2 linked regions of the Oryctolagus cuniculus genome follow. The protein of the gene in region 2 binds, or shares a complex with, the protein of the main gene of each other region. Links are inferred from orthologs where the notes say so. Each region holds a gene or a part of one and is shown on either strand. Other genes may lie near its edges.

Evidence for each region. The genes of interacting proteins can lie anywhere in the genome.
Region 1: the proteins of INTS11 (region 2) and WDR73 are in contact, whole or in part, in a cryo-EM structure (PDB 8R22), measured with the Homo sapiens proteins. The link is inferred for Oryctolagus cuniculus from reciprocal best matches to the Homo sapiens genes INTS11 and WDR73. Residues at the interface, in NP_060341.2 of Homo sapiens: Tyr206, Thr208, Thr209, Ile210, Arg211, Asp212, Ser213, Arg215, Cys216, Arg217, Glu218, Arg219, Asp220, Leu222, Lys223, Lys224, His226, Phe255, Arg258, Met259, Leu364, Val384, Glu385, Tyr386, Ser388, Lys418, Lys419, Glu421, Phe422, Gln425; in NP_116245.2 of Homo sapiens: Asp5, Asp6, Leu8, Val9, Ser11, Leu12, Tyr15, Gln16, Phe18, Tyr19, Ala20, Phe21, Asp22, Leu23, Glu50, Leu52, Arg59, Leu68, Phe69, Pro70, Glu71, Arg72, Asp73, Phe74, Lys75, Val76, Gly79, Phe81, Asp116, Ser117.

Annotation. Positions count from the first base shown.
Region 1 is NC_091443.1:100,944,772-100,948,510, forward strand, and holds the start of WDR73 (WD repeat-containing protein 73), read right to left. Parts: upstream 2,780-3,739; 5' UTR 2,691-2,779; coding exon 2,650-2,690; intron 2,199-2,649; coding exon 2,131-2,198; intron 1,915-2,130; coding exon 1,826-1,914; intron 489-1,825; coding exon 400-488; intron 1-399. Other genes in the region: NMB (neuromedin-B), read right to left, coding at 3,461-3,496. UniProt on the Homo sapiens protein: Component of a multiprotein complex required for the assembly of the RNA endonuclease module of the integrator complex. Associates with INTS9 and INTS11 in the cytoplasm, stabilizing the INTS9-INTS11 heterodimer and blocking the active site of INTS11.
Region 2 is NC_091438.1:164,188,288-164,191,798, reverse strand, and holds part of INTS11 (integrator complex subunit 11), read right to left. Parts: intron 3,049-3,511; exon of another isoform or gene 2,437-3,048; coding exon 2,208-2,436; exon of another isoform or gene 1,211-2,207; intron 1,166-1,210; exon of another isoform or gene 1,057-1,165; coding exon 958-1,056; intron 889-957; coding exon 854-888; intron 684-853; coding exon 545-683; intron 336-544; coding exon 271-335; intron 1-270.

The sequences.
Region 1 (3,739 bases), on a different chromosome or scaffold from region 2:
AGGCTCATCCAGACCACCCAGGCTCACGAGGGGAGGAAGACGCTTACTCCACTTGAGGGACAGGGACACAGCTCACGGGAGTCACGGGGCTAAGTCCAGCCGTCCGCATGTCCTCAAGTCACCTCGAGAGGACACTAGTGGGGAACCTGAACACCCGCCCTGGCCCAGGGCCCCTCAGCGCCCCATCAGCGCTCTCAGAGATGAAGGGCACCCTCTGGCCCGATCCCACACCCGTGCTGGGTACGTCAGTGAGAGCAGCAGGGGCGCGTGGGAAGCCACAGGCGTGGTTCTTTGTATTTTAGATCTGTGTGCACACACGTGCAGAAGGGCAGGGGTGGTGATGACAAGGCAGGATCCCCGGGACTGAATGGAAGCTCCGGACCACAGAACTGGCCTTACCTGGTATCTGGCACGTGCTTTAGAGCAAAAACACACCTGTCTGAAAACCCTCCATGGCACACTTTAAAGTCTCTTTCCGGGAATAAGCCCTGAAACGCAAAACGGGCCAATGAGAGCTGGCCACTCAGCCTCAGCCTCCCGAGGGCCCTGGTGTGCTATCTATGGGTGTCGGTCGCAGGTGCTCTCCCCCTTCTCTGCCACCCAAAGCCCTGCCCCTCGTTTCGCCAGGCCCTTCCACTCCAGCACCCACGACACTCCAGCCCTCTCAGGGGAGTCCAGGGGGTCGGCAGCTTCACCAGGGCAAGAGGGATCCAGGAGCGATGAACACACGCCCACTTCTCCCCATCCCTCCCCTGGACACCAGGGGTTCTTGCAGCTACACAGGCGTTAACACCGGCTGCGTAACACGTGCTCGCTCTGCCGGGCCCTGTGTTTGGGGCTTTATCACATTTACGTCTTACACTACCCTGTGGCGCAGCTACCAGAGCTGGCACTGTTCTGAACATGACAACCCTAAGGCACAGGGAGCTTAGGCAACTTCTCTAAGGTCACAGAGGAGTTAAATTGCAGGGGCTGGCATTGTGGCGCGATGGGTTATCCGACTGGTAGCCTCGCCCCTCCTGTCTCCTGACGATCACCAAGCCCTGGAGTCCCCTCTCTTGTCACCCTGTACCCCTGGAGGCAGAATCGTGTCCAGGGCGCTGCTCCCTCCCTCCCTCCCTCTCTCCCGCACATCCTCTCCTCCTTCAGGGCTTTCTTCCCCACGGCTTGTCACTCTGCTCGGGCCCTGCTTGGGGACACTCTCCCTGGAATCTGTGTCCCAGACAGGGGCAGGGGCTGGTTTCTTCCCTCCCGGCACTTCCCGATGGCATGGCCTCCTTCCTCTCAATATTTGCCCTCACCAAAAACACTGCAGCCGACGTCACCGCGAACTTCCCAAATGCCAGTCTCCTGAGCGAACCCAGCCACTCCCCAGCATCCGAGGGCAGTCACCAACTCTCTTCTCCTGGCCAGGGGTTCTTCTCTTGGCTCCTGAAACACTGGCCTTTTTCCGACTCCTCCTATCTCAGAGACCCTGAGCGTTCACGGTACCAGTGTGCTCTGGGAGGTTCTATCCTTAGCTGTCATCTCTGATTCCTTACCCACCACACACTAATCCTAGGCCAGTGGAACCATCCCATCCCCTGACGGTTTCCGAAACCATTTAGTTTTGATAAACTAAAATCAGCTTCTCGCTCCAGTAGCCCCACATAAACCACGTTAGCATTCAACTCTAAGCATTTACCTCCCTCTATTACACTGAAGGACTGGCACAGTGCTTCTCTCTCTCTCTCTCTCTCTCTCATCCAGGGCATTACCTGATAGACAATACAACCTCCACAAATGCTTCATAAATAAAAGTCAACACACGCATATTTCAAGTTACCTGGTTTTCCTTTACAGAAAGTCGGTGAGGCAATACGAGATGAAGAATCTCGTTTTTTTTCAGGCTTTCATAGCCAGCAACAAAGACTCCTGGAGAAAGGCAGAAGCAGCGTGAGACCGTGAGACTGCAGACCACCGCGGAGTTCACAAACTCCCGCCAAGTCTTCCCCATGCTGGCACGCAACCCCAGACGATGGGCGAGCTGAGTAAGGGGATTATACAAGGGAGCACGGACGGGCGCCCCAGTGCTGCCAGGGGCGGAGTCCCTGAGACAGTGCGACTCCACCTGCTTGGGGGACAGATCACCTTTGTTCCCAATCCATTCAAGGACTCGAGTGGCTCCCGACAGGTCGAATGCATGGAAATCCTGGTACCTGCACAATGAAGGACACACAAACCACTCGGTGCCCCAGAACTCACAGATGGGGCCCAGGCTCTGGCGTCAGCAGGCGTGGGGCCGAGTCTCGTCGGGCGTTCGCTCCGTGTCTGGCCCAGCCAGCGGCGTAACGTCCCTACGCCTCGGTCCTGAGTAACTCCCAGGCCAGCCAGATTCCCCAGGCTGATGTGGGGCATCAATGAGACATCTGGGTCCAGGACTAACCTCCGAGGCTAGAGCGAACGCGCCGGCCACACGCGCCGCTCCCACGAGCACCTCACACAAGCCACAGGCGCGCGGAGGGGCCATGTGCAGGCGTCGCGGCCGGGCGGAGTCCTCCGCATCGCCCCAGCCTCCCCCAGCCTTCGCTGCGCTCCTCCACCCGCACCCATCCGCCCATCCCTCCAGCTCCAGGCCCAGAGCCCGACCCACAGCCCCGCGCGACTCACAAACGCAAGGACTCCACCAGCCAGTCCTCCGCGGACTCCATGGCAACGGCCGCTGCCGACACCCCACTTCCGCTGCCGAGCGGAAGGACAGCCGCCGCGCTCTCGCGAGACCTGGGCGTGGCCTCCCGCCCGGGGGCGGGGCCGAAGGGATCGGACCGCGGATCCCCACGCGTCGCTTTTGGGACTGGGAGTGTCCGGGGTTCTCCGGGCGGCAGCCCCGGGGAAAGTGACGTAAAATCGGGGATTCCCCGATGCCGGAGGGCCCAAATACTCGCCGGCCGTGTGTGGCAGCCCAGCCCCCTGTACTAACACCGGAGCGCCCGTCTGAACTGGGATTCTGCAGCCTCCCTGCTGAATGCCAGCGAGGAGGGTAGGGGGGCGCCCGCCCTCTCAAAGCCTGGCGTGGGGAAGAAATGAGAGGGGCAAGCCCGGCAGTGCCGCGCAGGCAGGGACACGGGAGACCAGGCGTACCGCAGGCGTAGCTTGATTGAGCAGGAGTCAGTGCCAGGCTGGGCCATGGCGCCAAGTGCTCCAGCCCCGTCTGTCTCCCGGCCCCTCTCCCGCCCTCCCTCAAACCTAGCTGGAAGGAGAGGACCACGCATTCTGTGTGAAGAGCAGGGTTTTTATTCACAGCTTCAACAGGGGAGCAACCGATACAGCAGGGATATAACCTCGTGTGCGTCCCGCCAGCTCTGGCGACCCCGTCAGGAATCCCAGCCGTGCAGAGACGGACTGGCGCCCAGCATTTACATCCAGGCGGCACTGCCACCTCCCCCGGGCCGGCACAGTCTAAGGTGAGCTGCTGCTGGCATCACTTCTGCAGTATTTGCACCGGAAGCCTCCTGTACTGAATGAAAACACAGAAGAGTTGATCTGGCAAGGCGGGGTGGGGGCGCGGCGCCGCCCACGAATGGAGCCTCCTGCCACTCCTAAGTGCCAGGCACCTGCAGAGGTGGGCAGGGCAGGACCCCTAGCACGGCTCTCCCTGAAGGGCCCGGGAAGGAGTCACCGGCCGTGGTGTCCTGAGAGTTATAGCCCCAACCTCACAGCACAGTCGCCACACTCTAAGGGGGAATGTGAAGTCAGATCC
Region 2 (3,511 bases):
GCCGCTCCCCACACCCGTGGCCACCCCAGCCCGGTCAGCACAGCCATCGCAGGCCTGGGCCGCTCCCCACACCCGTGGCCACCCCAGCCCGGTCCCGCTGCTGTGACCACCGGCTGATGCCCCAGCCTGTGTCCTGTGATGCGCTGGAGCTGACGAGGGCCCTGACATGGCCAGTATGGGGACAACACGGGGCCCCCGGACTGGGGCAGCCCCCACTGCCCCGACAGTAAGCAGACGCCAGCGGAGCCGGGAGAGCCCTGGCCCACCTACCAGAAGGTCTCCAGCAGAATGCAGAGCTCCTGCGCACGGCCCAGCGCAAACACGGGGATCAGCACCTGCAGGACGGGGGCGCTCAGGCGGGGCTCCCACCCAGCAGCAAGGCACAGCCGGTCCTACGGCTGGAGCCTGCTCCCAGCGGGGCCAGGCAGCCCTGCCCGTGCGAGGGTGTGCAGTGCCCCCGACCCCCCGCCGGGGACCACGGGGAAGGGCTCCAGCGGCCGCCCCCGGAGCACGTGGCCCGGGCAGCTGGCCGGACGGCGGCTACCTTGCCGCCCCGCTCCACGGTCTCGTGGACCTTCTTGAGGAAGTCCCGCTCACGGCAGCGCTTGGAGTCGCGGATGGTGGTGGCGTAGGTGGACTCCGTGATGAGCAGGTCCGGGCGGCACTTATCGATCCAGGCAGCTCTGGAACAGACGGACGTCCAGCACTGCACGGGCCCGAGCGACTGGGCCTCGGGCCTTCAAGCACCTAGGCCCCAAGTCCCCAGGGGGGACGACCCACAGGGGACATCCGCACGCTGAGCAGGGGCCGGGACCCTCACCCCCAGGATGGGCGAGGTACATGTGGGACTCACCCCAAATGCCGGTCGGGGGTCATGTTATAGTCGCCCTGTGGGGAAGTGGCGATGAAGAGGCTGCCCCGCCCCCGGGGAAGCCCCGCCCCCAGCCTTCCACCTACCGTATAGACCACGGACTCTGAGCCCACTTTAATCTGGAACATGGCTGCCCCCAGCACGTGGCCCGCGTAGTAAGCCTTGATCTCCAGCTCGTCGTCCACCTGCGGGGGAGGGGCCGCGCTCAGGGGCAGGGGCCACAGCAGTAGGCTCTGCCTGGGCCCCGCACACAGAAGCACAGGGAGCGACGACCGTGACACGGCTGTGGGCCAGGCCCCGCGGTCAGGGAGCGACGACCGTGACACGGCTGTGGGCCAGGCCCCGCGGTCTGGGAGCGACGACCATGACACGGCTGTGGGCCAGGGCCCCGCGGTCAGGGAGCGACGACCGTGACACGGCTGTGAGCCAGGCCCCGTGGTCAGGGAGCGACGACCGTGACACGGCTGTGAGCCAGGCCCCGCGGTCAGGGAGCGACGACCGTGACACGGCTGTGGGCCAGGGCCCGCGGTCAGATGCGGCTCTGAACACGGGGTGGCTCTCGGGGTGCAGGCTTGGGGCTTGGGGGTTAAGGTGCCAGACACCACCTGAGGTGGCCACACTCCACGTCGGAAGCGCCCTGGGAGGTAGCAGTGACCCCTGCCCCCACGGGAGAGCGGGACTGGGCTCCCAGGCACTGACCTCAGCCTGCTGCAGACCTGGCTGCTGCAGCCAGCTGAGGACTAACCCAGCAGACGGAAGGGAAGTGCTGTCTGCGTCGCTCCGTCTCTCGAACGCTCTGCCTTTCAAATAATCTTCAAACAGAAACCAAGTTCTTCAACGCAGAGCCACGAGCTCCGTGTGGACGGGCCACAGTTAGACGGAAAAACGTCCACGGAACACAGGGTGCTGGGGGACGGCTCCCCGCGGCACAGGCGTTCAGCCGGCAGGGGACGGCTCCCCGCGGCACAGGCGTTCAGCCGGCAGACGAGGGGGGCGCCCACAGCAGCTTCCAGAGCACAGGCCGAGCCCGACTCCGTCCAGGCGGGGCCACGATCTTGGGGAGGCGTTTCCCCCATCCGAGTTACACGCCTTTGCTTCTGCCCTGACCCACACACGTTGGTCATCAAGCCCAGGGCTGGGGCCTTCAGAACTCGCCGTCCATCTCTGCCCAGGCCTGACCACCACTGGACAGCACCAGGCACGCACAGAGGCACAAGGGGCCTCGCAGGAATGCCAGCCAGGTGGACGCAAGGGCCCCACGCACCCGCACACACACTGCATGCACCCCTGCCCTCCTGGCGGCCCGGGCCCACTGCGGGGAGGGCGCTGGGCTGACCTGGACCGTCTGGTGCAGGTGCACGGCCACCACCTTCTTCATGCAGTCCTTGATCATCTGGGAGGTGAAGAAGTTGGCCTCGCCCTTCTTGTCCACGGCAATCTTGCGGTAGTCCTCCAGCAGGATGGGGCAGATGGCCTGCGTGGGGTGCGTCATGTAGATGGGCCCGTCGTAGCCCACCATCTCACTGAAGTAGGGCAGCGCTCCGCAGTGGTCCAGGTGGAAGTGGCTGGGGGGCGTGGCGGGCGTCAGCATGGCCAGCCCCAGGCCACCCTCCAGCCTCCCCCGCAGCTCTGGGCTAAGAGTCGCTCCACCCCTTCTCAGACACTACTCTGCGTACTCAAGAGTGATGAAGGAGTGACACACGCGGGGCCCACCTCTAAAACTGACCGCACAAACGTCCAACCCGCACCAGGCAGCAGGTAAAGCCACGCCTGCAGCGCCGGCCTCCCACATGGGCGCCAGTCAGTGCCGGCTGCTCCACTTCCCATCCAGCTCCCTGCTAATGCACCCGGGAAAGCAGCAGCGGACAGACCAAGTGCTTGGACCCCTTCACCCACGTGGGAGACCTGGAAGAAGCTCCTGGCTCCTGACTGGCCCAACCCCAGCCGCTGTGGCCATCTGGGGACTGAACCAGCGAACAGAAGATCTCTCTGTCTCTGCCTCTCTCTTTCTCTGCAATGCTTTCAAATAAATAAATAAATAAAGCTTTAAAAAAAGAAAAAAACAAAAACAAAAACAAAAACAAAAACAAGAAGCAGCAGCAGCGTGAACTAGCCAAGGGGAAGCACTGCCTGACGGTGCTCAGGGAGACCGGGTGGAGGGAGCCCCAGTGCCCAGCCCCTGACGGTGCTCAGGGAGACCGGGTGGAGGGAGCCCCAGTGCCCAGCCCCTGACGGTGCTCAGGGAGACCGGGTGGAGGCAGCCCCAGTGCCCAGCCCCTGACGGTGCTCAGGGAGACCGGGTGGAGGCAGCCCCAGTGCCCAGCCCCTGACGGTGCTCAGGGAGACCGGGTGGAGGCAGCCCCAGTGCCCAGCCCAGGGAAGGCCATGGCCCATGTCCGGAAGGAGCATGCGACACAGGTGCTCAGGACACGGCTTCCTGAGACAGCTGCTGCAGGCCTAACAGACCTGCTCGTGGGAGGCAGGGGCCAGAGGCACAGCGCTTGGCCACTGGGTGGCACTGCCCAGTACAAGTGAGGATGGTGGTCAGAGGGGAGAGGAGGGGGCACTCGGCTCCTCCTCCTGTCCAGTGGGCACTGAGATGCTGCGACGCCTTGGGGTGAGAGGTCAGGGGCCGGGCCA